2 linked regions of the Diceros bicornis minor genome follow. The protein of the gene in region 1 interacts with the protein of each later gene in a biochemical or structural test. Links are inferred from orthologs where the notes say so. Each region holds a gene or a part of one and is shown on either strand. Other genes may lie near its edges. The genes, in order: ARAF and GNA12.

Region 1 (16,065 bases):
TTGTGAGACAGTTAGCTGAGCTATGATTCCATGCTGGGGGCTTACGTCCTGAGCTTTTTCCCAAAAGCAGGAGGGAGGGATTACCGCCCCCACCCCTCTACTGACCAGTAGCCTCTTAATCATTAACACTTGCCACACCTCTGACCCTGACCATGACCTGGGCCTGTGATGATTTTACAGATGAGAAAGTGGAATGCCAACCTTCTCCACTGATCTATCAGCATAATATTGATAAAATGCCAGGTAAAAATATCAGTAACATGTGATGATATCCTATTAATCACCACGAGAGGCTTAGAGGTAAAGAGTTTGGAGTTTGGACTCAAATTAGATCCTATGTTCCAATCCAGGCTTCCTAGGTACTCACTGTGCAACCTTGGGAGGACACTTAACCTCTCTGTGCCTCATTTTCCTCAACTGTAAAACTGTGATTATTATATTAGCTACTTTATAGGAATGTTGGGAGGAATAAGTGAGGAAATCATCTGTAAGGTGCTTTGAACAGCACCTAACACACGTAAGCACTGAAAGTTTCCCTACCCTTCTTGTTCTCACTACTGGGGACCTGGGTTTACCTCACAGAAACTGTCACACTGGCCATATGAGTCTGTCTGCCCTCATTTAGAAGAAAACCTTCCTTCCTTACAGAAGTATTAACTACAGTCATAATGGTAACACAAATGCAAACAACATCCACGACGCTCTACAATTCTGCTCATGTCACAGCAGATAACAGAGCGCGTGAGCACTCTTCAGAGCAGTCAGATTATGGTTACAATATTAATATAATGCAAATGAACAGCATGCTCAAGGCATCGCCATTTCACAGAGAAGAACGGAGACTACAAGTTTTCTTACTGTGGCATCCATTATGAGGATAAATATTAAAACAGCACAAGGAATTATGATAACATCAACTCTAAGGTAATTGTGCCCATTTGTCAAAGAGGAAAGCCCAGGCTGGGAACCCCGGCAGCGGAAGTAAGCAGGGCGGCAAGAAGGGAAAGCCAGGGCTTCTCGGCATGCATGAATACAGTATTAATGATATATTAAGTAAAGCCACCACTCATTAAACAATGATTAAATTATGGTTCTGATTATAGTTAATAACACTGTTCTGTAAATTATGGCGTTACCATAACTAGTAACAAGAATGCAACACAATAAACATAACACTGATGTAGTACAAGCAGAGGGGAAGGAAGGACCAAGCCCTCCTGGCGACGCAGTTAACTAACATCATGCTATTCACGTTAAGTACACGAAGTAACGTTAATGAGGTCCTGCGGCCATCCCCATTTCACAGCAGGCAAACGAGAAGACTCATGTTGGCGGCAGAGCCGTTTATTAATATCAATATTAACCCAAACACAAACAATAACATCATCAGAGGTCCTCTAAACCTACCCATTTCCCAGAGGGGAAAAAGGCATCCTTGAGAGAGAGAGAACTTCAATCACGGTTCTAACGCCACACAAACACGGGTGATGCGCGGGAAGCGCCCTGAGCATGGCCCTTCCCCAGAGAGGCGCCGAGGCTGTGCCCGCCGCCCCCACCCCTCACCCCCACACGCGTGCAATCTCACCTGAGCACCTGCATCTCGTTCTTGAAGGCCTGGGCCTGCTCAGCTGTGGGTTGGGCCACCTTGAGCACCTTCACGGCCACATCACCATGCCACCGCCCGCGAAACACGGTGCCAAACGAGCCCGTCCCGATCCTCTTCAGCAGCTGCACCTCACTGGGTGGCACCTCCCAGTAATAGCCTGAGTCCCGGTACCCCAGATTCTTCTGTGGGCCACATGGGGGGCATCTCAGGGGCCTGCCCACATCCCTCATCACTCAGCCTGTGGTGCCCCCCAAAGGTTCCCCCTGGAGCTTACCACTTTCTTCTTGTCATCAGCCAAGGACTTCCGCTCCCGCTGCTCTGATGGGGACTTGGAATGTGGGGACTTCCTCCCCGAGGACACACTGGCCGGGCTGGGGCTCCCCCGGGAGGCTCCATCACCACCACTTCTACTACCAGCAGCTGTGGTTGTGGAGAGGGTGTGAGTGGAAGCAAGCAGGGTGGCGGGCGGGCTCAGGGCGCAGGCAGTGGGGGGCTCACCATCAGTGCTGAAACTCTGGGCAGTGGAAGAAGACGGACGGGAGTCAGAGAGAGGACATGGAGGCCAACAGGAATGGCTCTCCCTTCTGCCCGCTGCTGCCCGGTGACCGCCCCCCGACACCAACCTGGATGAGGCTGGAGTCCATGGGGGCTGTGGTGCTAACCATATGGACGTTGGGGGTGGACGTGGAGCGGATGCGCTGCAGGGGGGCGTTGGCCGAGGCAGGGAAGGGGAAGTGCTCAGGGTCACGGTGCTGGGTGCAGGAGCTGGCAGGGGAAAGGCTGTGAGATCACCGTCGAATGAACAGGAGACCCAATAAAGCCGCCCCCAGCCCCAGCGTAACGGTGTGTTTAGCTCACACAGAGTAAACATCCACTGTCATTACTATTATTCATTTCTTCCAGAAACATTTATTGAGTGCCTGCCGTGAGCCAGATACCATTCTAGGGAGTGGAAATAAAACTGAGAGCGAAACAAATAAAAGTTCTTGCCCTCGTGGGGCTGATGTTCCAGGAGGGAGAGAGAGAAATAAAAAACAAATAGTTAATATGTCCAATAGTGATAGGTGCAATAAAAAAATAAAGCAATGTAAGGAGACAGACAGTGCCCCCGGTGATGTCAGGAAAGGCTTCTCTGAGATGACATGTGAGCAAAGACCTAAAGAAGGGACAGTGAGCCACACAGATAGTGGGGGAAAGAGTAACATATGATATTTCATAACTAAATGTATTATTCAAATATATTATGTATTATATAATATACAGCATATTATCTATATTAAAAAGGCAATGTTTCAAAATATACATATCACAATGTTATATGTTATACATATACGTACATGTTATACATGATACACGTTACATATATTATAATGTTACAAAAATATTTCTTAATGTTCCCTTCACTATCCTGAAATGAAATTCATAAGTAATTAATCCACATACACCCATAATTAAAAATAACACAATACCCTAACTTTACTATTTTCTATACCATAGTCCCCCTTATCCGTGGTTTCACTTTCCCCGGTTTCAGTTTTCCACGGTCAACCGCAGTCCGAAAATATTAAATGGAAAATTCCAGAAATAAACAATTCATAAGTTTTAAACTGTGTGCTGCTCTGAGCAGCGTGTTGAAATCTTGCGCTGTCCTGCTCCATCCCACTCGGGACGTGAATCATCCCTTTGTCCAGCATATCCACACTGTATACCCTACCCACCCGTTAGCCCATTCATTAGGAAAAAACATCGTATCTACAGGGTTCAGTACTATCCGCGGTTTCAGGCATCCACTGGTGGTCTTGGAATGTATCCTCGACAGATAAGGGGGGACTACTGTATTACATAAAAATATATGATGGTCTACATTATATAAAAATATAACACATGATATAATAAGAAACCTACCATATAAATATAGATATTATAAAATATACAATATAGACATATAAAATGTGTATTATATAAACTTATGATGTATTAGAATAATAATATATTTTAACATAGAAATACTATAGTATTATAATGCTTAACATAAAGGAGAAATAAAAGGGAAATTATGATAAAATAACATGTATTTCAAAGTGGAAAGGCTTAAGCATGGTGATACTAGAATAATTAACAAAGCAGTTAGATGCTCATATATATTTATAATTAAGAAGAACTTATTATTCTGCACCAGATCTTTTCTAAGCACTGAACATCTTAACTCTAACCCTCACTAGAACCTATGTGGTAAAAAGTATCATTATCCCCTCTTTATAGATGAAAAAACTAAGGCCCAGAGAGATTAGATGACTTGCCCAAGGTCCCATAGCTCCATGCCCTTACTCACACTTGTAGGTGCTCAATAAATGTTTGTCAAGTAAACGAGTGAATAAACTATGGCTTGTGGTCTACAGAGGCCTCTAGATCTTTTTCTCCTAACAGAGGCCCTTTGGCTAAGGCATCCCTACCTGGGACCCTGAGGGGTTAGCGGCTCATTCAGGGGGCGGTTCGAGGGAGCCTCGTGCTGTCTGGAGCCTCCGGACAAATCCTGGACACTGTGGTGGAACCTTGAGGGCATTAAGGGTGTAGAGCAAGGGGATACGGGTCAGCTGTCTGTAAGAGCCTTGTGGCTGGGCCTTTGTCCTCCCCATACCCCCACCCACCCCAGGCCAGGCTCACTGTCGGCGGTTGGTACTCATGTCGACACAGACTGTGGGGACCTTGGAGGAACAATGCTGGTGGAACTTGTAGCCACAGGTTTGGCAGCGGAAGCCATGGAACAGAAACTTAAGGCAGAAGTCACAGAACGCCAGGCTGAAGAAGGTCTTCCGTACCTGCTGCCACAGAGCGGGGAAGGGTGAGGCCTGGTCAGGGGCCCTCCCCCCAGGCCCACGGTCTGCCCCCACCATGCACCCCGCACTCACAAAATTGTGCATGGTCAGCGGGACGTCTTCGAGGACCTCCACAATGAGCTCCTCGCCATCCAGGGGGGCAATGGCTGTGTCCCAGGCAGTGACTGTCTTTCTCCTGCAGGAGGCATGGAAGGGAGTGAATGGGAGGGTAGACGGGGGCCATGAGGAGGCAAGGAACACCCAAAAGTCCCTCCAAGCCTGCCATCCATGGAGTAATATCTGGCTTGTTTAATTCTCATCACAACAACTCCAGGAACTAGTTGCTATCCTTGCCCCCATCTTCCAGATGGGGAAACTGAGGCTCAGAAGGATAAAGTGACTTGTCCAGGCCACAAGGGATTGTGAGTGGCTGGACAGTGTGAAGAGTCCAGGCTTTAAACCACAAGGCAAGAAGCAAATGAGATAGTGAATAAACAACTAAGAAGAGCCAAGCAAGCCCCTGAAACAGCGACTGATGAGGCATTGAAACAACAAACAAGAAGCAATGTGTGAACCGAATAAAAAAATGAAGGAGCCCCAGGACAGAGGAAGGCATGGAAGGTCAGGAAGACCCAACTCGCCAGACAGAGGATGGGGAAACGGAGGAAGGAGAGAGCTGACAAACTGACGAAATAGGGAAAGAACAAAACAGATGGACTCCAGGAGGAGGTGACAGAGCACAGTGACGACCTGGAGGCCAAGGAGACAAGGTGTGGATCTTACAGGCCAATGAACTAATGAAGTCAGGCGTCACAGATTCACTGAACTCAGGGCAGACTAGTGGCAACTCCAGGACAGAGTGAAGAAGGAGGGGATGGGAGGACGGGCACTCAGCAGGGGGGATGGGGGGTACACTTACCCCTTGATGAGCCGGTAGACCACACAGCAATCCTGGTTGAGACCCCGCACCTTGAGGGCCTTGTCTAGAGAATCGTAGACGCTCATGCCATCCCGGACAGTCACCTGTGGGGGACGTGTGTGTGCAGATGTAGGGGGTCAGTGGCCAACAGAGACCCCAGCCGACTCTCCCATCCCTCTGCAAAAGCCTCCTCCCAGCCCTAGTCACCCTTCTGACCTAAGATTTCCAGCTGGGGCCATCCCCGCCCCACGCCCGTTTTGCTGCCAGCAGACTCACCACTGTGCGTTGCTTGTTGGGCAGGTACACTTTGACAGTGCCCACTGCCCGGGATGGCTCGGCCCCATTGGCAGGGGGGCCCCGTGGTGGATCCATGGAGCCTAGGACTTTGTCAAGACGGGCTGACGTGGGGCTGGGCAGGTGCCATGGGGCTCCTAGAAGACAGAGGAGGAATTCAGAGGTCCAATAATGATAGTCTGGAAGCAAAGACAGGGGACAAAAAAATTCAGTCTCGGGCTCCACGTCATCCCCTGTAGCCTAATTTCCACACAACAGCCCAAAGGATCCTGTTAACGCCTTGAAGTGGATCCAGTTCCTCCTCTGCTCAGCCCCTCCTGTTTGTCTCACTCTTAAGTGCCAAGGTCTCCGGTTCACTGCATGGGACGGAGTGGGGGTGGGGGACAACACAATGAGAGGCAGCAAACACTGTCCTGGAGGGCACAGGAGTCCACAAGTCTCTGTGCTGGGGGCTAACAGGGAAGTCAGCACACACTGCACTGCCACCTGTTAGGTACATAAGGGACATGAAGAGGCTGTCCCGGCTTTTAATGGAGAAGGGGGTTACCAGAAACTGGTGAGGGAGGAGTCACAGACAGGTGATGGGGAATGAATGAGGATCATCAGATATTGGCCTTAGTTTGGGGGAAATGGCAGTTGCACCAAAGAGTGTCCTTAAGGGCACTGTGGGCATCCCCAAGCCCTGGGCTGTAATGATTGTGGGCCCACAAACACGGTGGTAGGTGGCTGATGGGAGTCACCAGACTGTGATGGGGAGTTCACAGAGGCTCAGCAGACACTATGCTAAAAGGAGATGTAACAGGGGTCACTAGGGACTGTACCGGGGAGAAGAGTGGATAATGGGGGTCACCAGACACCGTCATGGGGAAAAGGAAGGTAATGGCGCATCACCAGACACTGCTGAGGTGAGATGAATGGGACTAAAGCAGGCGCGGGGGGCCTCCAAAATTCTCCCTGACAACTAATGAAGGGGCCACAGACATATAACTGGTGATAATGGAAGGAGGCCGGGGAAGATTAAGGAGGAGTAATGGAGAAATCCTCAAACATTCTCCTAGTGGGTCAGACACTGATCCAGAGTAAGGAAAGCGAGTAGTGAGCCGCGTCTCCACGCACTCCCTGCTGTTGGTAAGGAGCAGTCATCAGATACCTTAAGGAGGTTAAAAGGTAATACAGCCACAACACACCACAGCCCAAGCCCCTTTCGGGCCAGCCCCGCCTACCGAGGGCCTTCTAGTTCTGCGCAGGCGCGCTGCCACAAGCGGCGGGCGAAACCATCCCCCGCAGCCTTGCACCCCTATTCCTGTCTACCCCCCCCCGCCGTCGACGATGGTCTCGCCCCGGGTCAAACCACTCCTCCGGTTCCGGGCGGGGGGCGCCGGGGCCCAGGCGCAGCCATCCTGGAGCTGAGCTTTCGGTCCCGGCTCCCTGCCCGTGCCCGGCGGTCGCTCCAAAAACCTAACCCTGCCGGGCCCGCCCTCACCTGTCACGCCGCTACGGCCGTCGCCGCCTCCATCTTGGGCCTGTCTTCTTGTTTCCTCGCAGAGTCCGCCTCCACCGCCCCTCGGGCTTTCGCCATTGGCTCCGTAGGACTCAGCCCTCCATCTTTATTGGATTAGGGTCACGCCTGTCAAGGCAGGACCGGCGGAATGTGGGTCGTGTTCCGGATTAGGAGGGGCTGCCTGAAACGTCATGGTCTGGGGCAAATTCGCACGTCCTGACTCGCGCAGGCGCAGTCGAGAGGAAACCTGTGTGCCATGGGCTTTAACCCCAATCGTGCCATGGCGGAATAAAGCAGGGCTTTTTTCGGTCACTTGAGGCTGACTTTAGGGGTTCCTGAGTCTGGGCGGGAAATTCTTAAGCGCCCTTTGTGCTCTAGTGACCCAGAGCCCTAAGTACCCATTTGGGATTTCCCTGTGTCTCAGTTTTACCATCTTTGAAATGGGTTGGAATAAGCTGAAATATCTGCAATGTTTTTCAGTTTTAAAAGGCTGTAGTCATAGCCTTTGATAACAACAGGTCTCTAGTGTGGCCGGCGCTGGGAGTCTGGCCCTAGGAGGGTCGGCCTGCTCTTCTGAGAGCATTCCTTTGGAATGCAGTTAAGTATTTTGAAAGACTAGTTGTAGATGGCCAGGTGAAGAGGGGAGGGAAGTGTGGATCTGGAATGGGGCACAGTGCAGGGAAACGTGTGGAGCTCTTGTAGGGTAAATACAAATTTTTTTAAAGTTGAATTTTCCCTGGTGTCAAAAGTGAAAGAGACTTTCCACCTTTTCTTTTCTTAGAGCATTTCCTTTTGAGAACTTGTAATTGTAAATTTTTTCTGTCCCTTCGAGATGTATGTAAATCTTTTTAAACGCTAAATAGGCCTCCTGCCAGTTTTACTACCCAGGCATGTTGTTCTTTTTTTTGTGTGTGAGGAAGATCAGCCCTGAGCTAACATCCGTGCTAATCCTCCTCTTTTTGCTGAGGAAGACCGGCTCTGAGCTAACATCTATTGCCAATCCTCCTCCTTTTTTTTCCCCCAAAGCCCCAGTAGATAGTTGTATGTCATAGTTGCACATCCTTCTAGTTGCTGTATGTGGGACGCGGCCTCAGCATGGCCGGAGAAGCAGTGCATCAGTGGGCGCCCGGGATCCGAACCCCGGGCCTCCAGTAGCGGAGCGCGTGCACTTAACTGCTAAGCCATGGGGCTGCCAGGCATGTTGTTCTTAAGGGCCTTGGAGCCATCTCTTTGAAATGTAAACATCAACGGTGATAGAGCACCTATCTCCGTGGGAATTTGACCTAAGCGGCTGGCTCCAAGTTGTTACCTGCTTGTCAAAGAGATAATATGTTTTATGTTTCCTTTAGATAAAGGCAGATGGCTACCCCAATTTCCAGGTGAATTTGATATGAACTATGGTGCTGTCAAGTTTTCTCACTTGACGACAAGTTATCATCTTTCTTGAGAACATGTACGTAATGGGTTGTATTTGTCCGTCTATATAAAAGGATGAGGTTCCTTTCTGTCTTCCCAATCTCTTTAGCGAATTGCTTGTGATGTGCAGTGCAGTCTGGTTTAACGCTTATTCCATAATAAAACTATTTTATTCTTTTCTACCTTTTTTTTTTTGGTGAGGAAGATTGGCCCTGAGCTAACATCTGTTGCCAATCTTACTCTTTTTGCTTGAGGAAGATTGTCGCTAAGCTAACATCTGTGCCAGTCTTCTATTTTGTACATGGGATGCCGCCACAGCATGGCTTGATGAGCAATGTGTAGGTCTGCGCCCGGGATCCAACCCTGCAAACCCCAGGCCACCAAAGCAGAGTGCTCGAACTTAACCACTACACCACTGGGCCAGCCCTCTTTTCTACCTTTGTGGAGAGGGTTCCCTGGGTTGGCATGAGATTTTATTTTTAATTATTTCCCCAACAGTATGAACGGCCTGTTGTGTTTGAAGTGATTACATTCTCCTGTTTGGAGCCTCAGCATCCCTCTGCCATGAAATAAGAAAAATCAGAGAAAGGTCACTAGGCGAGGGGGCCTCAACATGCTTCAGCTTATATTTATTAAATGTGTTCTCTGCCTATAAGGAGAGAGAAAAAAGTTCTGCTTACTGCATATAACCTCCATTTCCCATCACCCCTTTTCTATTCGATCTTTACCTATTCGATCTTTACCTTTCAATGGCTAAAATTAAAAAGACTGACAATCCCACATATTGATGAGAATGTGGAGCAACTGGAACTTTCAGACATTGCTATTGGAAGTGTAAAATGATACAACCACTTTGGAAACAGTTTGGCAGCTTCGTATAAGTTAAACATAGACATACCATGCAATCCAGCAATCTCATTTCTAGGTATTTACTCCAAAGAAGTGAAAATATATGGCCAATGGTGTGCTGGTAAATGTTTAACAACCACCTCTCTAGGAAAAAAAGCGTTTGCCAACTATGGTGTAAATACTCCCATCACGGCTTTCAAACTACTAATATGACATCACTGAAGCAGAGTTGAGAACAGATTTGCAAAATCCACTCTGGTGAGCCCACCACAGCATGCTACTGCAATATGTCCGCACAAAAACTTGTACTCAAATATGAATTAGCTTTATTCATAATAGCAAAAAACTGGAAACAGCTCAGGTGTCCAAGAAGGTAAGAATTGACAAAGAAACAATGGGGTCAATGAAAGGGAACAAACTACTTCATACGTCTATGAATCTCGTAGACATAAGGTTGAGTGAAAGAAGGCAGATACAAAAGAGAAATACTGTATTATTCCATTTGTATTAAATTCTAAGCCAAGCAACACTGATCTATAGAGAAGGAAATCAGACTAGTTGTTGTCTTGAGTAGAATGACTGGGAAGTACATGAAGGAACTTTGGGAGGTGATTGGACTGTTCAGTATGCATTTATCATTGAACTCTATAGTGAAAATGGGTAAATATACCTCAATTAAAGTGCATGGCCAAAAAATGGCTTCAAACATAATTCTAAACATTTTGATTGCCTACAAATTCTTTTTTTCTTCTTCTTTTTTTTTGGTGAGGAAGATTGGGCCTAAGCCAACATCTATGCCCATCTTCCTCTATTTTGTACGTGAGATGCCTCCACAGTGTGGCTTGATGAGCAGTGTAGGTCCGAGCCCAGCATCTAAACCCAGGAAGCCCAGGCCGCTGAAGCAGAGCACACGGAACTTAACCACTATGCCACCAGGCTGCCCGATTGCTTACAAATTCTTATTGGTTAGAGAAAACTTTTTTAAATTCTCTGTTCTGAAATTGAATCCCTGGACCCTACATCCCCATCTCCCAGTGCAGGAGCCCTGGCGGCAACCTCAGTGCCATATGGGGTCAGGAACAACTCCTATCGGAGCTCAGAGAGGGGCTCCAAAATCCTCGCCAGGAGGAAGAATAAGTTCAGGGGCGAGGGGAGTGCATTTTAAATTTCAATTCATTTAAATATTATTTAATTTGTTTAAAAACTTTCATTTCTATGCAAATCAAAACAACACTAAGATATCACCTCATGCCTGTTAGAATGGCTATAATCACCAAGACAAAAAACAACAAATGTTGGAGAGGATGTAGAGAACAGGAAACCTCATACACAGCTGGTGGGAATGCAAACTGGTGCAGCCTCTATGGAAAACAGTATGGAGATTCCTCAAAGAATTAAAAATAGAAATACCCTATGATCCAGCCATCCCACTACTGGGAATCTATCCAACGAACCTGAAATCAACAATCCAAAGAGGCTTATGCACCCCTGTGTTCATTGCAGCATTATTCACTACAGCCAAGACATGGAAGCAACCCAACTGTCCCTCGAATGATGATTGGATCAAGAAGATGTGGCTATATATACCATGGAATACTACTCAGCCATAAAAAAAGACAAAATCGTCCCATTTGCAACAACACGGATGGGCCTGGAGGATATTATGTTAAGTGAAATAAGCCAGACAGAGAAAGACAAACACTGTATGATACCACTCATATGTGGAATATAAACCAACACATGGACAGAGAAAACTGTATTGTGGTTACCAGGGGCAATGGGGGTAGGGGGTGGGCACAAGGGGTGAAGGGAGACATATATATGGTGATGGACAAACAAAAATGTACAACCCAAAATTTCACAATGTTATAAACTATTAAAACATCAATAAAAAAAACTTGAATTTCTAGGCAATATTTGAAAACATTTCTGGCTCCATTGCACGTTTACAAAAAGATGAGCAAAATCCCAGCGTAAACTCATTGCCCACGTGCTGTGCGGGGAGGAGGGACCGAGGGAGGGTGGGAGGCGGGCGCCCACTCAAGCGCAATCCTTTCTCTCCCAAGGACTCATAGACTCGCTCCAAACTCATCCCAACTAGTGCGACTTCAGCCAAGTACCTCACCGTACCGGACAAGCTGTGAGGGCCTTTGAAGTTGAATTGGGTTTTTATCATCATCATCACGTTAAAACCATCAGAAGTACCAATGTATTAAAACAAAAATTAAGCCCGCACTAGCTGATTAAGGTTTTCTGACATACCCCTTGAAATTATTCACCTAGAAATCTTAAAACATTTTTAAGCGGTTGTTGGTTTTTATTATTGTTGATTTTAAATTCTTAGAAACGTATCTAAAAAATATACAAAAATCTTAAGTGTTTGCCAACTGCCGTTGTAATGCTACCCATTTTACAGCTGAGCAAATTGAGGTTTAGGCTGCCGTAACCAGAGGGATGGAGGAGAGAGCTTCAGGAATTCAAGTTTGATAAAAAGTGTTCGAACAAGGGTGCAGGCCAAAGGCACCTCCTTAAGGAATCTTGGATCCACCCCAGCGGTCCTGCGTGCCTGAGGCTCTGCTTTAAAACCTGCCACTCTCATTTCCCAAGGCCACCGCCCTCGCCCGCCCCTGCGGCCGCCTGGAGAACACCGCTTCTGAGACCCCATCGCACTGCCTCCCTCTCCGCTACGCATTTCAGGAGAGACAACCGCGCGTACACATTTCACTAAGGGACAGACGGAGGCTCAGCTGCACGCCCTACAGGCCTGACTCAGCGCCCTCAACTATGGGTCCTGCAAGCCGCCGCAGCGCTCTGCAGGGAGCCACTCTGCGCTCCAGGCCCCCAACAGGCAGCGAGATCAGCCAACGGCAATGCAGTGGAGGGCGGGCTTTGGGATGCCGCGGGCATTGATAGGCTCTGCCTCACCGCGGCGTTTAGGAGTGAGAGGAGAGCGGACTTCCAGACTCCGAAGAGCCACGGATAGACCGAGAACCGCGCACGGGAAGTGGGCTTTGGGCCGTCCCGGCCAACCGGAGGTGGTGCGGGCCTGAGACTTGCTGCAAACCAGCAACTTAATGTTATTTTTAAATTAGTGGCAATGCAACTGTATTTGTTCCATCTAAAGCAGAGTATGGAAGTTTCCACTTCTGAATATATTTCTCGAAGAGATTTTTAATATGCAACCCTGGAGCCAGAAGTGTGGGAAATTTACAAGTGAACCTACACGTTACTTTTAACTTTAATTTTTTTTCCTAAAAAGCCTTTCCTAACAAAATGCATTGAACAGGGGTCGGCCCGGTGGCGCAAGTGGTTAAGTGCGCGCGCTCCACTGCGGTGGCCCGGCGTTCGCTGGTTGGGACCCCAGGTGCGCACCCACGCACCGCTTGTCAAGCCATGCTGTGGCGCGTCCCATATAACGTAGAGGAAGATGGGCACGGATGTTAGCCCAGGACCAGTCTTCCTCAGCAAAAAGAGGAGGATTGGCATCAGATGTTAGCTCAGGGCTGATCTCCTCACACACACACACAAAATTTATAAGGATTAAAGTCATACAAAGTATGTTCTCTGACTCAAATGAAATTGAATTAGAAACCAATAACAGACAAATCCACTATCATAGTTGGAGACTTCAACACCCCTCTCTAAGAAAAGGACAGATCTAGCAGGGAGAAACCAACAGCAGAAAGATCCTTGGGAAACCCTCAAATATTTGGAAATGAAATAACACACTTCTAAATAACTCATGGATCAAAGGAGATATCAAAAGGAAAATTTTAAAAATCTTAAACTAAATGAAAAGGAAAATATATCAGAATCTGTGGGATGCTGCTAATGCAGTATTTGGGAAAATACCTATAATTAGGAAAGAAGAAAGATCTCAAATTGATGGCCTCAGCTTCCACATTGAGCAACTAAAAAAACAGGAGCAAATTCAACTCCAAGTCAGCAGAAGGAAGGAATTAATAAAGATCAAAGCAGAACTCAATGAAACAGAAAAGTGAAAAGCAATAGAGAGAATCAATGAAACCAAAAGCTGGGTTTTAAGGTCAATAAAACTGATAAACCTCTAGCCAGGCTGTTGAGGAAAAAAAGGCTCCACTTACCCAAATCAGGAATGAAAGAGACAGCATGACTGCAGATTCTACGATTAAAAAGGATAATAAAGGAATATTATAAACTACTTTATGGCAATAAATTTGACAACTTGGATGAAATGGGCAAATTCAACCAAGGCTCACTGCAGAAGATAACGTGACTAGCCCTATATCTACTAAATAAATTGACATTGTAGTTTAAAATGTTCCTGCAAAGAAAACTCCAGGCCCAGGTGGTTTTACTGGTGAATCTACCAAACATTAAGGAGGAAATAATAACAATTCTGTACAAACCCTTTCAGAAAATTGGAGAGATGGAAATACCTCCCAATTCATTCTATGAGGCCAGCATTACTCTCATACCAAAATCAGACGAAGAAATTACCAGAAAGGAAAACTACAGACCAATATCCCTCAGTAACATAGATGCAAAAATTCTAAACAAAATTTTGGCAAATCAAATTCCATAATATGTTAAAATGATAACACATTATGACCAAGTGGGGTTTATCTCAGGAATGCAGAATTGGTTTAACATTTGAAAATCAATCAGTGTAATTCACCACAAAGACCACAATAACTAAGAAAGAAAATCATACGATCATCTAAATAGCTGCAGAAAAGCATTTCACAAAATCTGACACTCATTTTGATAATTCCCAGAAAATTAGGATAAAAGGGAACTTTATCAACCTTCTAACAGAAAAAGAAAGGGAAGGGAAGGAAAGGAGCTGACCTTCTCAAGGCCATAGCACTGGCTGAGCTGGGTACCTGCAGGCCACTAGAATTGCTAAAACATCTGTCAACACTGACCCTTTTGGAAATTAGCCTTCATACTGGGTTCTTAGGTATGTTTAATCTCTTGTAACCCTGTCAGTGTCCTTGAGCTTGGATCATACAAGTTCTGCCAAGGGACATAGATCTTTGCCTTGATACTTTAATAATATCACTGGTGATGATTGTGATAAGAAGAATAGCTAATAATTACTGTGCAGTCACTGTGCATCATACACTGTGTAAAGTTTGATATAGATTGGTTCACAGAATCTTACGACAACCCTATGATGGAAGTACTTTAATAAAATATTAAAGATAAGGAAACTGAGACACAGGGAGGGGAAACAATTCATCCAAGGTCACACAGTTACATAGCAGGACATGGGGATATTCACATACTCTAACTAGACAAGTGGTCAAGTCCTAAGGCATTCTGGGTAACTTCAGAATTGATTTTCTTGTACCACATAATGTTATGCAACATTTACATGGGCGGATTCCATGTTATCTCCTTTGTGGACTTATGGGCTATAATCCTTTGTTATTTTAGTGGTTGCTTTAGGCTTTATAGTAAACATATATAACTTATCATAGTCTACCTTCAAGTGACAATATACCACTTCACATATAGCATAAGAACCTTATAATAGTATCCTTCCATTTCTCCCCTCCTTAGATTTATGTTATTGTTGTCATGCATTATACTTTTGCATATGTTATAAACCCTACATACGTTATTTTATTTTTGTTTAAATGGGTAATTAACTTTTAAAGAGATTTAAATAATATTTTAAAGAGATTTAATATATAAAAGCTTGTATATTTACCCACGTAGTTACAATTTCCAGTGCTCTTCATTCCCTTGTGTAAGTCCTGATTTCCATCTGGTATCATTTGCCTTCTGCCTGAAGGACATCCTTTAACATTCCTTGTGGTACAGGTCTGCTGGTGAGGAATTCCTTCAGCCTTTGTATTCTGAAAGCACCTTTATTTCTCCTATTTTTAAAGTTATCTTTTAAATTAAACTTTTCCTTTTGAGATAATTGTAGATTCGCATGCAGTTGTAACTAATATTAGAGACATTTGTATACCCTCTTCCAAATTTCCCCCAATGGTAACATTTTGCCAAGCTATAGTACACTGTCACAACCAGGAGGTCTCCTCAACTCGAGGAGTCCACTGGGCTCCCTTCATTCCCAGCCTTGTGCTGCAGTCTGGCAAGTCTCTCAAGGCAGTAAGCTGGGGCAATCACAGGACTCACCTGCTTTATTTCCTATTTCTCAGGGATCGGTGTCCTTCATTGCCGGATATAGTGTCTTTAAAACCAGTATTCCTTATACAGTGCTCTATGTCAATTATATCTCAGTGAAACTGGAAAAAAAATCATTGTTTCATTTATATTGTCTGAGATTTTTTTGGTGCTTTCAGATGAGAGGTTAAATCTGGTCTCCGTTATTTCATCTTGGCTGGAAACAGAAGTACTTCCTCCTTTTCTTAATGATTTTACACAATCCCCCAAACCAAGACCTTGGTGCTTTTTCCAAAATAATGATCCAACTCTGGGCAAAGTCTCTTTGAAAGCTGCTGTTTCCCTGAAGCTTTTGGGTTTTGTTTTGTTTTGTTTTGTTTTCACACCAGCAGAAATTTTTCCACACATAGCATCCTTCCTCTTGAGAAGGCCTGTCTGTCATCCCTTGTTTTACTTCTAGGTTAGCAGTTAAGTGCTTGATATAGAGACAGTCTAGATATACAATATGCTTTAGCACAATATTTCTATCAATCAGCTATTTTAT
Region 2 (16,129 bases), on another chromosome or scaffold:
GTGTTCCTTGTATTTGGACAGAATATGTATTCTCAAATTATTGGGTTCACTGTTCAATATACATTTATTAGGTCAACTTGTTCATTGTTGCTTCAGTTATCTATTGGTGCATAACAAGCCACTCCAAAACTTAGTGGCTTAAAACGTTTTATTCGGTCCTGATTCTAGAAACTGGGCTGGGCTCAGCTGGGAAATTATGCTATCCTTCCTATGTATTCAGCTGAGTATTGACTGAGGGCTTGGCTCAGCTGAGACCCTGGGCTGGCTGGGATCCTCTCCCTTTCTAAGCCATCTCAAGGTCTTTACCTTTTCTGACGGTCTCTCCAGCAGAGTAGCTGGACTTCTTAAATGGCAACTCAGGCCTCCAACAGCACAAAAACGGAAGCTGTCAGGCTTTCTTAAGGCTTACACCTGGAACTGGCAGAATGTCACCTCTGCCACATTCTCATTGTCAAAACAAGTCCCAGGTCCAATCCAGATTCAAGTGGAGGGGCTGCGTAAGGGCATAAATACCAGGAGAAGTGGTTGACTTGAGATCTACTAATGTAATAGACCACCACAACTGTATTTTTCAACTGCTTGAACTATTTTTTTTTTATAATTTTATTTATTCATTTTTTCCCCCAAAGCCCCAGTAGATAGTTGTATATCATAGCTGCACGTCCTTCTAGTTGCTGTATGTGGGACGCAGCCTCAGCATGGCCGGAGAAGCAGTGCATCGGTGCGCCCCAGGGTCCAAACCCGGGCCACCAGCAGCGGAGCACGCTCACTTAACTGCTAAGCCATGGGGCCAGCCCATGCTTGAACTATTAATTACTAGAAGAGGTGTGTTTAACCCACACCCTCACCCCAGCAATGATGGTGGATTCCTCAGTTTCTCCTTGAGGTTTTGTCAATTTTTTTGCCTTAAATATTCGAGGCTATGTTATTAGCTGCATACAGGTTTAGAATTGTTATATCTTACTAGTGAATTAAACCTTTTACTGTATAAAGTGACTCTCTTTATCCTAGTAAAGATTTTAGACTTAAAATCTATTTTGTTTCCATTAATAAAAATATGCCAGACTTCTTTCAGTTAGTATTTGCCTGTCAGTAAATCTCTCTCCATTCTTTTACTTTGATCTTTCCTGGGTCATTAGGTATGTCCTTTATAAGCATGTAACTGGACCTTGTTTTTATTTTATCCAGTCTGACAGTCTTTGTCTTTTAACTATTTTAGTCTATTTACATTTATTTTGATGAGTCATATATGTGGATTTATTTCCACCTTCTTATTTTGCTCTCTTTGTCCTATTTTTATTCTCGTGTTTCTTTTTTCTTCATCTCTCACATTCTTTTGTGTTGATTGATTTTTGTTTCCTCATTCCATTTTTCTTCTCTGCTAGTGTGGAATTTATAGACCCTATCTCTCTTCTTTTTGTGTTTACCCTAAAAATTTTAACATGAATATTTAACTTGACAAAGTTTAACATTAATCAAAATATTTATTCTCTTCTCAAACAATTCAAAGATCTTAGAACATTTTAATTATGATTGCCCTCTCCCTACATATACGCCTCTAGTGTCCAGTATTTTAGTTCTATTTTTTCTCAACTCTATAAGTTAAAATTATTATTGTTGTTTAATATAGTCAATGAAAAGAATCATCTATATGTTCACAAAATGTCCACCTTTCCTTTTTGAATGGTAGGCCTTCCTTTTGAGATTATTTTTCCTTCTTCCTGAGGCACACTGTGTTAAATTGCTAGGGCTGCCATAACAAAGGACCGCAGGCTGGGGGACTTAGACAACAGAAATTTATTTTCTCATAATTCTGGAGGCTGGAAATCCAAGATCAAGGTGTCAACAGGGCTGATTCCTTCTGAGGCCTCTCTCTTTGGCTTGTAAATGGCCTTTCTTCCCTATGTCTTCACATGGTCTACCTTCTATACACGTCTGTGTCACATTTCCTTTTCTTATAAGGACACCAGTCATATTGGATCAAGACCCATCCCAATGAGCTCATTGTAACTTAATTACCTCTTTAAAGATCCCATCTCCAAATACAGTCACATTCTGAGGTACTAGGGCTTATGACTTCAACATATGAATTTTAGGGAGGATACACAATTCAGCCCATAACACACATTATTAATATAAAATAATTTCCTGTTTTTATATGTTTGAAATGTCCTCATTTTCTCCAAAGATATTTTTACCGAGTTTACAATTCTAGGTTAACGGTTATTTTCTCTCAATGCTTTTAAGATACTATTTCCTATATGGCTTCCACTTTTGTCATTAACATATCAGCTCTCAGTTTGTGTGGTTCCTTTGAGGATGACATGAGTTAGCATATGCAAAGTGCTTAGAATGATGCCTGGCACCAAGTAACTATTATATAAATGGTAGCTTTTATTATGTTCCCTCTGGCTGCTTTTAGGATCTTCTCCTTGTCTTTGATGTCCTTCAGTTTCACTAAGGTGTATCTTGGTTTGGATTTCTTTTTATTCATCACGTTAAACATTTCATGTCATTTGTCGGTTTAAAATTCTCAGCCATTATCACTTCAAATATTGCCTCTTCCTCACTCTTTCTATCCCATTCTGGAACTCTGGTTAGACATATGTTCCATATCCTTCCTCTATTTTTCCTGCCTCCCATCCTTCATATCTTTGTGTTGGATTCAGGGTAATTTTTTCAGATCTACATTCCAAGTTATTTTCTTCATCTGTGTCTTAATCTGTAACTTAGCATATCTATTAAGTTTCCATTTCAATTATTATATTTTTCATTTTTAGATGTACTATTTGGTTCTTTTTTCACTTCTCCCCAGGCATTTTTTATATTCTCTTATTCCTTACTTATACTTTCAATACATTCTTTAATTTCTTTAGAGATATTAAATATATTTATCCTATGATCTGTATTTGATAACTCCAATATCTCAAATCCTTCTGAGTGTGATTCTGCTGTCCTTAGTCTGGGCTGACTTTCAGTCATGATGCCTGATTTTCCCGTGTGTTTAGTGATTTTGTTTCAATGTACACTCCTTGGAACTGAATCTGTTGATAAATGTTTGATATCCATACGATTGATTTTACTGGTTCACTCTTCCGCTGATGTACAGTCTGTTGCGGTCCTGGGTTTATGCAGTTGTCTCCTGTCAGACTCCCCACCTTTGATGATCTTTAGGTTTTCTCTCCGGTCTCTCACCTGCAGCCAGGAAAATAGAAGGCGGAGTTTACAAGGGTTCAGCAGATGTCCTCAGGGCAGCTGGAGGCTTCACCATGAATCAGCTTAACTCTTTGAATTTCTGCTTCCACTGTGATTTTGGCCCCTGGGGCTTTCTTACTCAGCTCAGTGACTCTTGAAAAAAAAAAATGCTTTGAATAGTTTACACAGCATTTTTAATTGTTGCTGCAGGAGGGTTAATCTGAGAATTTGGTCTACTATACTTTCAGAAAAAGAAGTCTCATTATTATTTCTTTTAAATATTTCCTCTCCTCCATCTCTTTCCCCCTCCTTCTGGAACTCTTATCATTCACATGTAAGTCTCCTATCCCTTCTCTCGTGATTTCCATCTCTTTATACTTTTCCTCTGGGTTTTGAGATATTTCTTTCATTTTATCTTCCAGTTTTCTCACGTTGTTCTCAATAGTACTCAGTGGTTACCATTTTCTCTTCTATTAAAAATTTTTTTAAAATCATCATTTGTTGTTGTCGTTCTATGTCTTTTTATGCCATGAACATTCTCCTAAGGTGGGATGATGATGATGGTGATGGTGGTGATGGTGGTGCTGGTGGTGATGATGATGTAAAGTTTTCATCTATTTACCACTAGTTGAGACGTTCTGCTTTATCTTCTCTCTGGCACATGGGTCCCCTTAAGTCTATTTAAATTTTCTCTTTCCTTCTCAGAGCTCTGTGGCTTTCAGGGAAAGCTTGTACGGTTTCTTTTGCAATGATGAAAGATAAGGTCACAGGCAAGATGTTGCTCCTCTAATGAGCACCAAGAGGAAGCTCCCAGGTCTCCACAGCTGTGATGCTGGAAGCTCCTATTCTCGGGGGGGGGGGGGGGGGGGGAATCTCCCAGCCCCCGGGCCCGTGCAGCTCTCCCACATTCTCCCCAGACTAGAGAAGCCCTATAAGGACCTCACAGGAGACTACATCCATGAGACCCAAGGAGACCCTATTCCTTTTGGGAACCCCAGAGTCCTGGGCCTTTTCCCAGGCCTCTGAGCTGCTGGTCCCCTCACTCCCACCCAGCAGGAGAATGAAAGTGTCCTGTGACTGTCCCCTTTTCTAGGATTCCAGAAGAGCTCGCTATTCCACATATACATTCCAGGCCTTGCCATCGGACCCTCCCTCCTGGCTGTCCCTTAGCTCAGGAGGTGGAATTGAACAGGAGTTGAGAGGAGCATTCAGGCCACATACCCCCCCACCCCTCCAGCAATTTTTAAACACATGGTGGCCATCTGTTTACAAATTTTGGTCTTCCTTATTCTTTTTAGGAACTTTATGTTATTGCATTTATATGGCTGTACCTTAATTTATTTAACCTGACCTTTTCCCAGGTTTTTATTTTTAATATCAAACACTGTATTAATATTATAGATTATAGATTGTTAGAAGAATCTATAGGTAGATTCTTATAGATTCTTCATCTTCATGCCATTACTATTATTCTAAAATTCTAAATTTGCAGTACCTGATTCCCAAAGCTCCATGATGATGATAATAATAATGTTAGAAATTATTGACTGCCCATTATGTGCTAGGGCCTTGTATGTGTTAACTTACTTAACACTTATCACAGCCCTATTTTATCCTGGTTTTACAAATAAAGAAACTAAGTCTCAGAGAGGTTAGGTGACTTATTTAAGTCACACAGCTAACAGGAGGTGGCACGAAGCCTCAGAGCTCTCACGCCTTCACCCATCTCACACTGTGCATGGAGCATACACTGGGTCAGGTTTCCAGTCCAGCTTCTGCAACTTACCAACCCTACTTCCCCCGACAAGTGACATTAGCTCCCTGGGAGCCAGATTCTTCTATTACCATAGTCTCTGCCTCGCCTCCTTCCCAGCAGTGTAGAACAGCACAAATGAGATCATGTGTGTGGAAGCACTTTAAAAACTAAAACACGCCATACAAAGGTGAGGGATAATGGAGAGATGATTACTGAGTACACAGATAAGCTTGTTTATTTCAAGCACCTTAGCCCTTTGACAGATGTGAAGGATATGTCCAGAGACCTTGTCAGATCCCCAAATTGGATACCGTATAAAGATTGCATAAACATAGGCATAAATCTATTTACAAAGATACAAAGTTATTTGTAAATGTCTGAAGCATTTGCTCAAAGTGTTTTGTGAATCACCTTCTCTTAATTTCTTTTAACTGAATGAGGGGCTCACTCTGGTCCACTGCTAAATTCCACATTCCTCTCTTTATTTGTCAAAAATTCCTATTTTCTGTCTAAGAAACGTTGTTTTCTGAGGCCTCTCCACTTGTTCTTCACTTCTATTATAATACTAGTGTTTGGCTTTCTGTGGAAGGCCGTTTTCACAAAGAAACAAGACTTTCTTTTTCATCGTTTTTGAAGGATTACAGAGTACTAATGAGTTGACTCCTTAAGTGATAAAAATTTATGCCTCAGTAAACGACAAATGCCACATATCAAGGGCATTCAAGGTCCTCTGAGAGTTTAGATCTCTCAGTGAACTCCTTGAATACCACGGTTCTATGGCAGAAAACTAGGGATTCTTTTGGTCTGCACCCTACCTGGTGACTTGAATGGTCTGGCTCCCTAACTAATGTGTACGTTTCTTGACGCAACGGCTGCGTCTTTTCCATCTTCAGCTTCCTCTCCAGAAGTCCCCAGTGCTTGGCATTTTCATGATTATGCAAAAATTACTTGTAGAACCGAATGATATCACACTGACTAATCATTTTTTTCTATTGTGCATACCCTCTGTAGAGGCAGGGTCACGTAGTGAAAGAGAGCAGGGTTCTAGTCGGCTCTTGTGTGGGACCTCAGGTCAGTCAGTCATTTGTACGCTGGTCTTGATTTTATCCACCTGGTGAGAAGGAGGATTTGGACAGGATGATCTTTAAGCCCTGTTTAATTAATTAAATAAGGAGGGTATTAGACTGAGGAGGCTCTAATGCCGTGGCAGCCTATGTAAGCAAACCAAAATCTAATCCTGTAAATGCCTCAAGGTTACAAAATCAAAACGCTAAAGACAACCAACTACAAACAGCCAGCTAGCCTTTAAGCTGTACCCATCAATGATTTCCTTCTTTGTTTCCATGCTTTCTCTATATAAGTCTTTTCTCTGGCTCCCCTCCGTCGAGTGCTCTAACCACTTCTGGTTTTGTGCCATCAGGTTTGAATAGATTTTTGCTCTTAAATAAACTTAAAATTTTTAATACGCTTGGGTTTCTCTTTTAACAGACCCTAGTTCCTAAATCTGGCCAATTACCTGGGGATGAAGAGATACCGGAGCTCCTTTCAGGAGGTTCTGACTCACACTCGATCTGGGACAGGTAAGAATCTGATAAGTCAGCTGACACTTAGCAAGAACTGACTGGGGCCTAGGCACTGTGCTGTGTTTTACAAGTTCATGTTCTCAGTTTCTATCTTCACAACAATATGAGGTGGTTGCTATTATCACCCCCATTTTACAGAGGAGGAAATTGAAGCTAAAAACAGGAGGGAAAAATAAAAGAAAGAAAGAAAGAAAAGCTACTTAAAAGTTTATGCAACTGGGCCGGCTACACTTAACTTAGCGGTTAAGTGTGCGTGCTCCGCTACTGGCGGCCTGGGTTCAGATCCCTGGCGCGCACCGCGGCACCGCTTCTCCGGCCATGCTGAGGCCACGTCCCACATACAGCAACTAGAAGAATGTGCAACTGTGACGTACAATTATCTACTGGGGCTTTGGGGAAAAAAAAAATGAGGAGGATTGGCAATAGATGTTAGCTCAGAGCCGGTCTTCCCCAGCAAAAAGAGGAGGATTAGCATGGATGTTAGCTCAGGGCTGATCTTCCTCACAAAATAAATAAATAAATAAAACTGTTTAAAAAAAAAGTTTATGCAACTGGTAAGGGGTCGATTGGCTATTCCAACTCAGACCCAGCAACTCCAGACCCCACTCCCAATCACTGTGCTACATAAGATTTTTCCGAGGGGCTTCTGGTGATTTTGATGATTAAAATCTTTAGATCTCAGAAAAGCTTTGAGAAAAGCTACCGAAGGGCCCACGCCAGTCTCAAAGGGTGCATTTATTTGAAACGTGTGGCCCATTCCCCCCAGCGTTTCTGGAAGGAAAATGGTTTGGGAACAGCTTTCTCTCTAAGCTTAAGACGCGCAGCGGGACCTCTTATCAGCATTTCCCAGTTTTCAGAGAACGTGAAGTCCACTCTGCGAACCTCCTGCTCTCACAGCTTGACCCATCTGGGAGCCCAGGGCGCCTCTTTCTGTACACCTGGCACTTCTGGTCCCGCCCCGATTCGCGAAACTCCCAATCCCAAGCCTGTGCACTGTGATTGACGTGCTCTCGGAGCAATTATAGTTGGTTATGGCGGACGGCCGCCCGGCCTCTCCGACGACCCCGCCTCCCTTTCATTCTGCAAGAAAGAACCTCGGCACGGGCGTCCAATGAGAAGCGTCTCCACCCCAAAGATCCCGCCTCTTTCGGCGCCGACCCCGCCCCGAGGGCCGGAAGGATGCCCGCCCCTCGGCGTGGCACGGCCCAATCGGAGGGCCCGTTCGTCCGGATGGACGGCAGCCGGCCCAATTGCCGGGCCTCGGGTGGTGCCGCCCCGCCCCTCCGCCGGGGCTGAGCGGCGGGCGAGAGTGGGCCTCGGGGCGGCGGCGGCGGACGCGGCCTGAGGGAGCGGCCGGAGCCGCGCGGGGCTCGCCTCGCCCGCGGCGGGGTCCATGGCCTGAGCGGCCATGTCCGGCGTGGTGCGGACCCTCAGCCGCTGCCTGCTGCCGGCCGAGGCCGGCGGGGCCCGCGAGCGCCGGGCGGGCGGCGGCGGGGCCCGCGACGCGGAGCGCGAGGCGCGGCGGCGCAGCCGGGACATCGACGCGGGGCTGGCCCGCGAGCGGCGCGCCGTGCGGCGCCTGGTCAAGATCCTGCTGCTGGGTGCGGGCGAGAGCGGCAAGTCCACCTTCCTCAAGCAGATGCGCATCATCCACGGCCGCGAGTTCGACCAGAAGGCGCTGCTCGAGTTCCGCGACACCATCTTCGACAACATCCTCAAGGTGCGCGCGCCCCGCCGCCCCACCCGCACACCTGCGCCCAGGTGCGCGCAGGGGCGGCCCCGCGGACCACCGCGCCCCGGCCGGGACCGCGGCCCCCCCTTCGTCTGCCCCCTGACCTGGCTGCAGCTCCCAGTGGCCAGGTGCTCCCAGCCTTGGGGGGCTGGCCAGGGATGCGCACCCCTTCTCCCCGTCGGCCTGATGGCCTTCGCCTGTGCTCTTCTCGGGAACTCGGGGGCGGTGGAGGCGGAAAAGCTGGGCGACAACTGGGGATTTGCCGGGGGCGGGGGTGGGGCGGGTCTTGGTAGTGAGGAGGGCCCCTCCTGGACTCTGGGTCGAGGACGCGGCCTGGCAGGATGGCATCTGCGCGTTTCCCACTGCCAGTCTTCTGGGGTCAGGGAGCCATCCTTGTCCTGCCTTTCCAGTGAGTGCAGAAGAGCAGTGTAAACTGCAGAGGAAACCGGCCGCAAGTCTCTCCTTTTACACTGTTGTTGAAAATTTCGAACAGATACAAAGTAGAATAAAACGAACTATGTGTACCCATGGCCCTTGTCCCGCCAACTTCGGCAATGATTAGTTCAGGGCCAGTCTTGTTTCCCCTGTATCCCTGCCCCCGTGATTTTGAAGCAAATCCCAGGCATTGTATAACTTCATTAGAAAATACTTTAGTATATGTATCGCCAAAAGATAAGGCCTCATTTAAAAAACATAGCCACAGTACCCTTATCAGTATCCAGCCTTAAGAATTAACAATAACTCCTTAATATCCTCAAATATCCTGCCAGTGTTTAGATTTCCTCTTTTGTTGCATAAATGTTTTGTTTGTTTCCATCAAGATATAAATTAAATCCTTACATTGCAATTTTTAATGTCTCTCTTAAATGGTGTGTTATCTCCAGGTTCTCCTATCTCTTGTTCCCTTATTCTTTGCAATTTATTTGTGGAAAAAACCATAGAGCTGACAAAGTCTGGGTTCTAGTCTCTCTCTACAGAGAGCCTGTGCTAAAGGGCCCCAAAGAAAGGAAATCTGGAGAAAAGTGATGGTGAGGGGAAAGTAGAGTCTATCGGGCACCTAAATAGGGTCATTTCCTTTCTTTCTTTCTTTTTTTTTTTTTTTTTTTGAGTTTACCTCTACACTTTTCTTGTCCCCTCACTTACTCTTTCCCAGGCCCATTTTGGGGCAGCCAAATTACAGGTATGAGGAAAGTTGTCTTTAAGCAGAGGTAGAAGGAAGCTTGTCATACCAGAAAGCTGCCTGGAGACTAGATTTTATGGTGCCTGAGGGACTTTCAATTTAGCAAAGGGCTGCAGAAACCCATCTGGTACATTTCTTTCCCTTCAGCCATGAGGAAGCTCCGGGCCCTGGAGATGAAGTGGCTCCTCGCTGGGGCCTGGATGCTGGAACCCTGGCCTCTAGACTTGCAGGCCTGCCTTCTTCCAGGATTGCATCAGGAATCTTGCACTAGTACCCCCAGTTCGTTATGTGTTTGTTACTAGAATGTTTCATTTTAAGAGAAATAGCTCTTTTAGGATCCTGACGGGAAGAGAATAATTTGAATGATAAAACACCCTTTTCACCTCTTTCAAAAGCCTCTCTGTGAGTCAGAGCTCTGGCCCAGTACTTCATAAACTTTAAAGGCTGGGTGCCCAGTGTGTTCCGGGGGATGGACTGTGTGTTTAAAATTCCCCTCATCTTCTGGGGTAAAGTGCATTCGATTGTCTCTCTCTGTCACAGAGCCAGATTTTATTTTTGCTGCTTTTTGGACCTCCAAACCAGGCAGGTAGAGTATAAAGATTTGGCTGACTATCTCCCAGTTTTTTTCAACTCGGGAGGCAGAGAAAATGTTTAGAAACATAGAATCTTAAATCTAAATCAGTGTATTAAGTGCGTTTTGGAAAACTCAGTCTTAACCTTTTCCCAATGCATATAAACATTAACTTTTACTGACTTCCTTATCAACAGAAACAGGGTTTGTTAACTGGTATCCTACTTTCCTTCCCAACTTTTTTACTAATTGTAATTCCATATTAAACTCACTTTATCTGTTGGGACTATTTCAGTAACTAATTAGAATTTCAGTTTTCAGTCTAAAACCAAAATCCCCCCCCCCCCAATTTTTATTTGGACAGATCACTTTGGGAAGAAACTTTTTAATAAGGTGCTTTGTAGTGGCTTTAGTAGTGGGCATTTGGATGATACTGTTTAGAATAATAATTGTGTCTACAAATAGATTTAGTGTTAACAGGCTATTTTTAAATACGCACATTGCCAGGGCCTTTCATATATGGCATTTAATTTTCATAAGGCATCGGATGGTATTATCCCATTTAGCCAATGAGGAAATTGGAGATAGAGAGTTTTTTTATTTATTTTTTGTGTGGAGGACTAGCCCCGAGCTAACATCCGATGCCAATCCTCCCCTTTTTTCTTGAGAAAGAGTGGCCCTGAGCTAACATCCATGCCCATCTTCCTCCACTTTATATGGGACGCCATCACAGCATGGCCTACCAAGCGGTGCGTCGGTGCGCGCCTAGGATCCGAACCTGCAAACCCCGGGCCACCGAAGCAGAGCGCGCGCACTTAACCGCTTGCGCCACCGGGCCGGCTGGAGATAAGAGAGTTTAAAATCTGCTCAAGGTCAGTTACCTAATTAGCAGGTCTCAGAGCTGGGAACCAAACATGGTCTTTTTTCTTTTAATTAAACTTTTAATTTCTGGGTAATTGTAGCGTCCCATGCAGTTGTAAGAAATAATACAGAGATCTTGTGTCCCCTCTACCCAGTTTTCCTCCATGGTAAGATCTTGCAAAACCGTAGTATAGTATCACAACCAAATATTGACATTGAGAAAATCAAGATACAGAACATTCCCATCACCATAAGCATCCCTCATGTTGTCTTTTATAGTCACTTCCTCCCTTCTCCCCCTCGCTGACCTGTCAATGACTGATCTATCCTCCAATTCTATAATTTTGTCGTTTCAAGAATATTATGTAAGTGGAATCATGCAAAATGTGACCTCTTGGAATTGGCTTGTATCGCTCAGCATAATTCCCTGGAGATTCACCCCAGCTGTTGCATGTGTCAGTAATCAATAGTTCATGGCTTTTGATTGCTGAGTAGTATCCATGGTATGGATCTACCACAGTGCACCATTTAACCATTCACCTGTTGAGGAATGCCTGGGTTGTTTCCAGTTTCTGCCTATTATGAGTTAAATCTTCTATGAACATTGACATACATGTTTTTGTGTGTACATACATTTTCATGTATCTGGGATAAATGCCCAAGAGTGCAGTTGCTCAGTTGTATGATAGTTGCATGTTTAGTTTTATAGGAAACTGCCAAACTGTCTCCAAAGTGGTTGTACCATTTTACATTCCCACCAGCAGGGTATGAGTGATCCAGTTTCTCTGCATCCTCACCAGCGTTTGGTTGTGTCAGCTATTTTTTATTTCAACCATTCTGATAGGTGTGTAAGTGCTGTCTCATTGCTGTTTTAATTTGCATTTCCCTAGTAGCTAATGATGTTGAACATCTTTTCATGAGCCCACTTGCCATCTGTACATCCTCTTCATTGAAGTGTCTCTTCGTGTTTTTACCCGTTTTCTAATTAGGTTGCTTATTTCTTTTTTTTGTTTGTTTTTTGTGAGGAAAATCAGCCCTGAGCTAACATCCAATGCCAATCCTCCTCTTTTTGCTGAGGAAGATTGGCCCTGAGCTAACATCTGTGCCCATCTTCCTCTACTTTTATATGGGACGCCGCCACAGCATGGCTTCACAGGCGGTGCGTTGGTGCGTACCCGGGATCCAAACCTGTGAACCCCGGGCCGCCACGTGCACTTAACCACTACGCCACTGGGCTGGCCTCAGGTTGCTTATTTCTTTATTGAGTTTTGCAAGTTCTTTATATATTCTAGATACTAGTCCTTTGTCAAATAGATGGTTTGCAAACATTTTCTCCCGGTTTATAGCTTGCTTACCTTTTCATCCTCTTAACAAGGTCTTTCACAGAGCAGTAGTTTTTAATTTTGATGAGGTCCAGTTTATCACTTTTTGCCTTTATGTGTCATGCTTTTTGTATCAAGTCTAAGAACTCTTTACCCAACCCTAGATCCCAAAGGCTTCTCTTATTTATTTTTCTAAAAGTTTTACAGTTGTATATTTTACATTTAAGACCCTCATCCATTTTGAGTTAATTTTTGTATAAGGTGTGAGGTTTAGGTTAAGGTTCTTTTCTTCTTTTTTTTCTATGGATGTTCAGGTTTTCCAGGACTGTCTGTTGAAAAGACTATCCTTCCGTTGAATTGCTTTTGCACCTTTGTCAAAAATCAAATGGGGATATGGGTCTATTTCTGGGTTTTCTATTCTATTCTACTGATCTGTGTCTCTCCTTCTGCTGGTATCACGCTGTGGTCATTACTGTAGCTATATATCAGAGTGATTTGATATCAGAGTGATTTGTCCCATTTCATTTTTCTTTTTCAAGATTGTTTTAGCTATTCTATGGCCTTGGCTTTTCCATATAAATTTTAGAATAAGTCTATGTCTATAAAAAACCTTGCTGGGATTTTGATAGCAATTGTATTAAACCTATAGATCAATTTGGGGAGAACTGACATCTCTACTTTGTTGAGTCTTCCAATCCATGACTATGGTATGTCCTTGTTTATTTAGGTCATCTTTGATTTCTTTCATCAGCATTTTGCAATTATTAGCATACAGATCCTATACCTGATTCATTAAGTTTATACTTAAGTATCTCATTTTCTTTAGAGTAATTGTAAATGATACTATGCTTTTATTTTCAGTTTCCACATGCATGTTGTTAGTACACAACAATGTGATTGATTTTTGTATCTTGATCCTATGTCCTGTGACCCTGCTGAAAACATGGTCTAAGAGTTTTCCTGTAGATTCCTTGGGATTTTCTACATGGATCATCATGTTATCTGCACATAGGGGCAGTTTTATTTCTTCTTTCCCAATAGATATGCCTTTTATTTCTTTTTCTTGCCTTATTGCAGTGGCTAGAGCTTCCAATATTATGTTGAGTAAGAGTGGTGAGAGTAGTTATATCTTCTGTTTCTTTTCTGATATTGGTGATTTGTGTCTTCTCTTTTTGCTTTTGTCAGTCTTCCTAGAGATTTATCACTTTTATTGATTATTTTTTTTCCCTGAAGAATCAGCTTTTTTTTTTTTTTTTTTAGTGAGGAAGACCAGCCTGAGCTAACATCTGATGCCAATCCTCCTCCTTTTTGCTGAGGAAGATTGGCTCTGGGCTAACATGTGTGACCATCTTCTCCCACTTTATATGGGACGCCGCCACAGCATGGCTCGACAAGCGGCAGGTCGGTGTGCGCCCGGGATCTAAACCTGCGAACCCCGGGCCGCCACAGCAGAGCACACACACTTAACCGCTGCGCCACCGGGCTGGCCCCAGAACCAACTTTTTATGTCATTCATTTTTCTTTATGGTTTTCCTGTTTTTAATTTTATTTATTTCTGCTCTTATTATTTCTTTTCTTCTAGTTGCTTTGGGTTTATTTTGCCTTTTTTCTCTAGTTTCTTGAGGTAGAGACTTAGATTATGTATTTGAGACCTTTCCTCTTTCTAATGTAAGCATTTTAAGTGCTGTAAATTTCCCCCTCAGCACTGCTTTAGCTGTGTCCACATATTTTGATTTCTTTTGAGATATGTTCTTTGATCTATGGATTATTTAGAAGTGTGTTGTAGTTTTCAAGAGTTTAGAGATTTTCCTGTTATCTCTCTGTTATTGATTTCTATGACTCCATTATGGTCAGGGAACATACTTTGTATGATTTTAACTCTCTTAAATTTGTTGAGGTTTGTTTTATGGCCCAGAATATGGTCTATCTTGGTATATGTTCTGTGCGCCTGTGTTGGTGAATGTTCCATGGCCACTTGAAAAAAAAATGTATATTCTGTTGTTTGGAGTTTTCTACATATGTCATTTAGATCCTGTTGGTTGATCGTGGTGTTGAGTTCTGTATCTTTGCTGATTTTCTGTTTAGTAGTTGCCTCAGTTGCTGAGGGTGAGGTATTGAAGTCTCCAACTGTAACTATGGGTTTATCTATTTCTCCTTTAGCTCTATCAGTTTTTGCTCTGTGTATTTTGACTCCGTTGTGTGGTGTGTAAACATTTAGGATTATTCCATTTTCCTAGTGGATTGATCCTTTTCTCATTACATGTTGTCCTTCTTTGTCTCTAGTGTTTTTCTTTGCTCTGAAGTCAACTTTATCAGATATTGTAATATAGCTACTCCTTTTTTTATGAATGCTTTCATGATATGTTTTCCATCCTTTTAACCTACCCACATTGTTGTCTTGAATTTCTTATAGACAGCGTATTATTGCACCATATTTTCTTTCTCTACTCTGCCAATCTCTGTTAATTAATTTGTATATTTAGACCATTTACATGTAAGGTAAGGTAATTAATATGTTAGGGTATAAGTCCCCCATTTTATTTTTTTTATTTTTTATTTGTTTCTTCTGTTTTTTTCCTTCCTGTGGGTTATTTAAACATGTTTTAGGATTCTATCTTGATTGATTGATTGGTGATTGATTTTTGAGTATATCAATCAAAGCTTTGTATCATTTTCCTGTTGGTTGCTTGAGGTTACACTATACATATGTGACATATCCCAGTCTACTGGTGTCAGTGTTTCACAGCTTAAGTGAAGTATGGAAACTTTACTTCCATTTAGATCCCTTTACCTTCCCTACTTTTTAAATATAAATGTCTTAAGTATTTCTTATTTTACTTTGAGTACCACATCATGTGGATTTACATCAGTCATCAAATGTGATTTAAGGAACTCATGGGAAGTAGGATAGTTTGTTTTATTTACCCCTATTTTTACCAATTCTGGTAGTGTACTTTCCTTCCTGAAGTTCTAAGCCTTTTCCTGTTACCCTCTCCTTTCTGTTTTAAGAACTTCCTTTAGCGATTTTTTAAAGGCGGGTTTGCTTACAGCAAATTCTCTCAGCTTTCCTTCATCCAAGAATGTCTTTATTTCCCTTATTCTTGAAGGATGTCTTGCCAGCTATAAAATTCACAGCTGACACTTATTTTCTTTTAGTATTTGAAAAATGTGCCACATTCTTCTGGCCTCCGTGGTTTCAGATGAGAAGTCTACTGTCATTTTTATTGCTGTTCCTCTGTCAGTAAGTGTCATGTCTCTCTGGCTGCTTTTAAGATTTTTCCTTTGTCTTCAGTTTCCAGAGTTTAATTATGATTTGTCTCGATGTAGGTTTCTTTCAGTTTAATATATTTGTGGTTTGCTCAGCTTCTTGAATCTGTACGTTTATGTCCTTTGCCAAAATGGGAAGTTTCCAGCCATTATTTCTTCAAAGACTTTTTCAGTCCCACTGTCTTTCTCCCCTCCTCCTGGGACTCGTGTGATAGGAGTGTTAGCCCTTGTTACTGACCTCCAGGTCCCTGAGACTCTGTTGCCTTGTTGAGTGGGGTTGTAGCCTCAGTAGCCGCGCTACCCCTCCCCCAGCTGACACTGGGGTGGGGTGGGGCAGCAGAGCAACAACCTGCCAAACCACCACTTCTTCCTCCTGCCACCTGGGGCTGGGTCGGGATGGAGACTCAGCTCCCCTCCTACACTCCCCTGCTCAGGGAATCGGAGCACCTTCTCTACTTCTAGGCAGGGGCTGGGAGATGACATCCCTGCTTGGCCCTACCAGCACTACCTGGTAGGCCACTTGGAACATGCCCGCTGGTTTGTGGGGCGGGAAGTAGGGGGGATCAGCTTCCCTTTCAGCCCCTCTGAAACCTCGGAAGGCCATGTGTGCAGTTTTTCTGTTGGTATTTGGCTGGAATAGGGTAGGTCCTTTGGCTAGGGGA

What was found.
Region 2: the proteins of ARAF (region 1) and GNA12 form a complex in vitro, tested with the Homo sapiens proteins (2 studies listed by BioGRID). The link is inferred for Diceros bicornis minor from reciprocal best matches to the Homo sapiens genes ARAF and GNA12.

The regions. Positions count from the first base shown.
Region 1 is NC_080781.1:41,315,629-41,331,693, reverse strand, and holds the start of ARAF (serine/threonine-protein kinase A-Raf), read right to left. Parts: upstream 7,283-16,065; 5' UTR 7,119-7,282; intron 6,550-7,118; exon of another isoform or gene 5,992-6,549; 5' UTR 5,915-5,991; intron 5,881-5,914; exon of another isoform or gene 5,773-5,880; 5' UTR 5,714-5,772; coding exon 5,618-5,713; intron 5,446-5,617; coding exon 5,342-5,445; intron 4,619-5,341; coding exon 4,516-4,618; intron 4,426-4,515; coding exon 4,271-4,425; intron 4,159-4,270; coding exon 4,060-4,158; intron 2,387-4,059; coding exon of another isoform or gene 2,372-2,386; coding exon 2,230-2,371; intron 2,121-2,229; coding exon 1,881-2,120; intron 1,789-1,880; coding exon 1,586-1,788; intron 1-1,585. UniProt on the Homo sapiens protein: Involved in the transduction of mitogenic signals from the cell membrane to the nucleus. May also regulate the TOR signaling cascade. Phosphorylates PFKFB2.
Region 2 is NC_080765.1:11,706,564-11,722,692, forward strand, and holds the start of GNA12 (guanine nucleotide-binding protein subunit alpha-12), read left to right. Parts: upstream 1-7,895; 5' UTR 7,896-7,942; coding exon 7,943-8,254; intron 8,255-16,129. UniProt on the Homo sapiens protein: Guanine nucleotide-binding proteins (G proteins) are involved as modulators or transducers in various transmembrane signaling systems. Activates effector molecule RhoA by binding and activating RhoGEFs (ARHGEF12/LARG).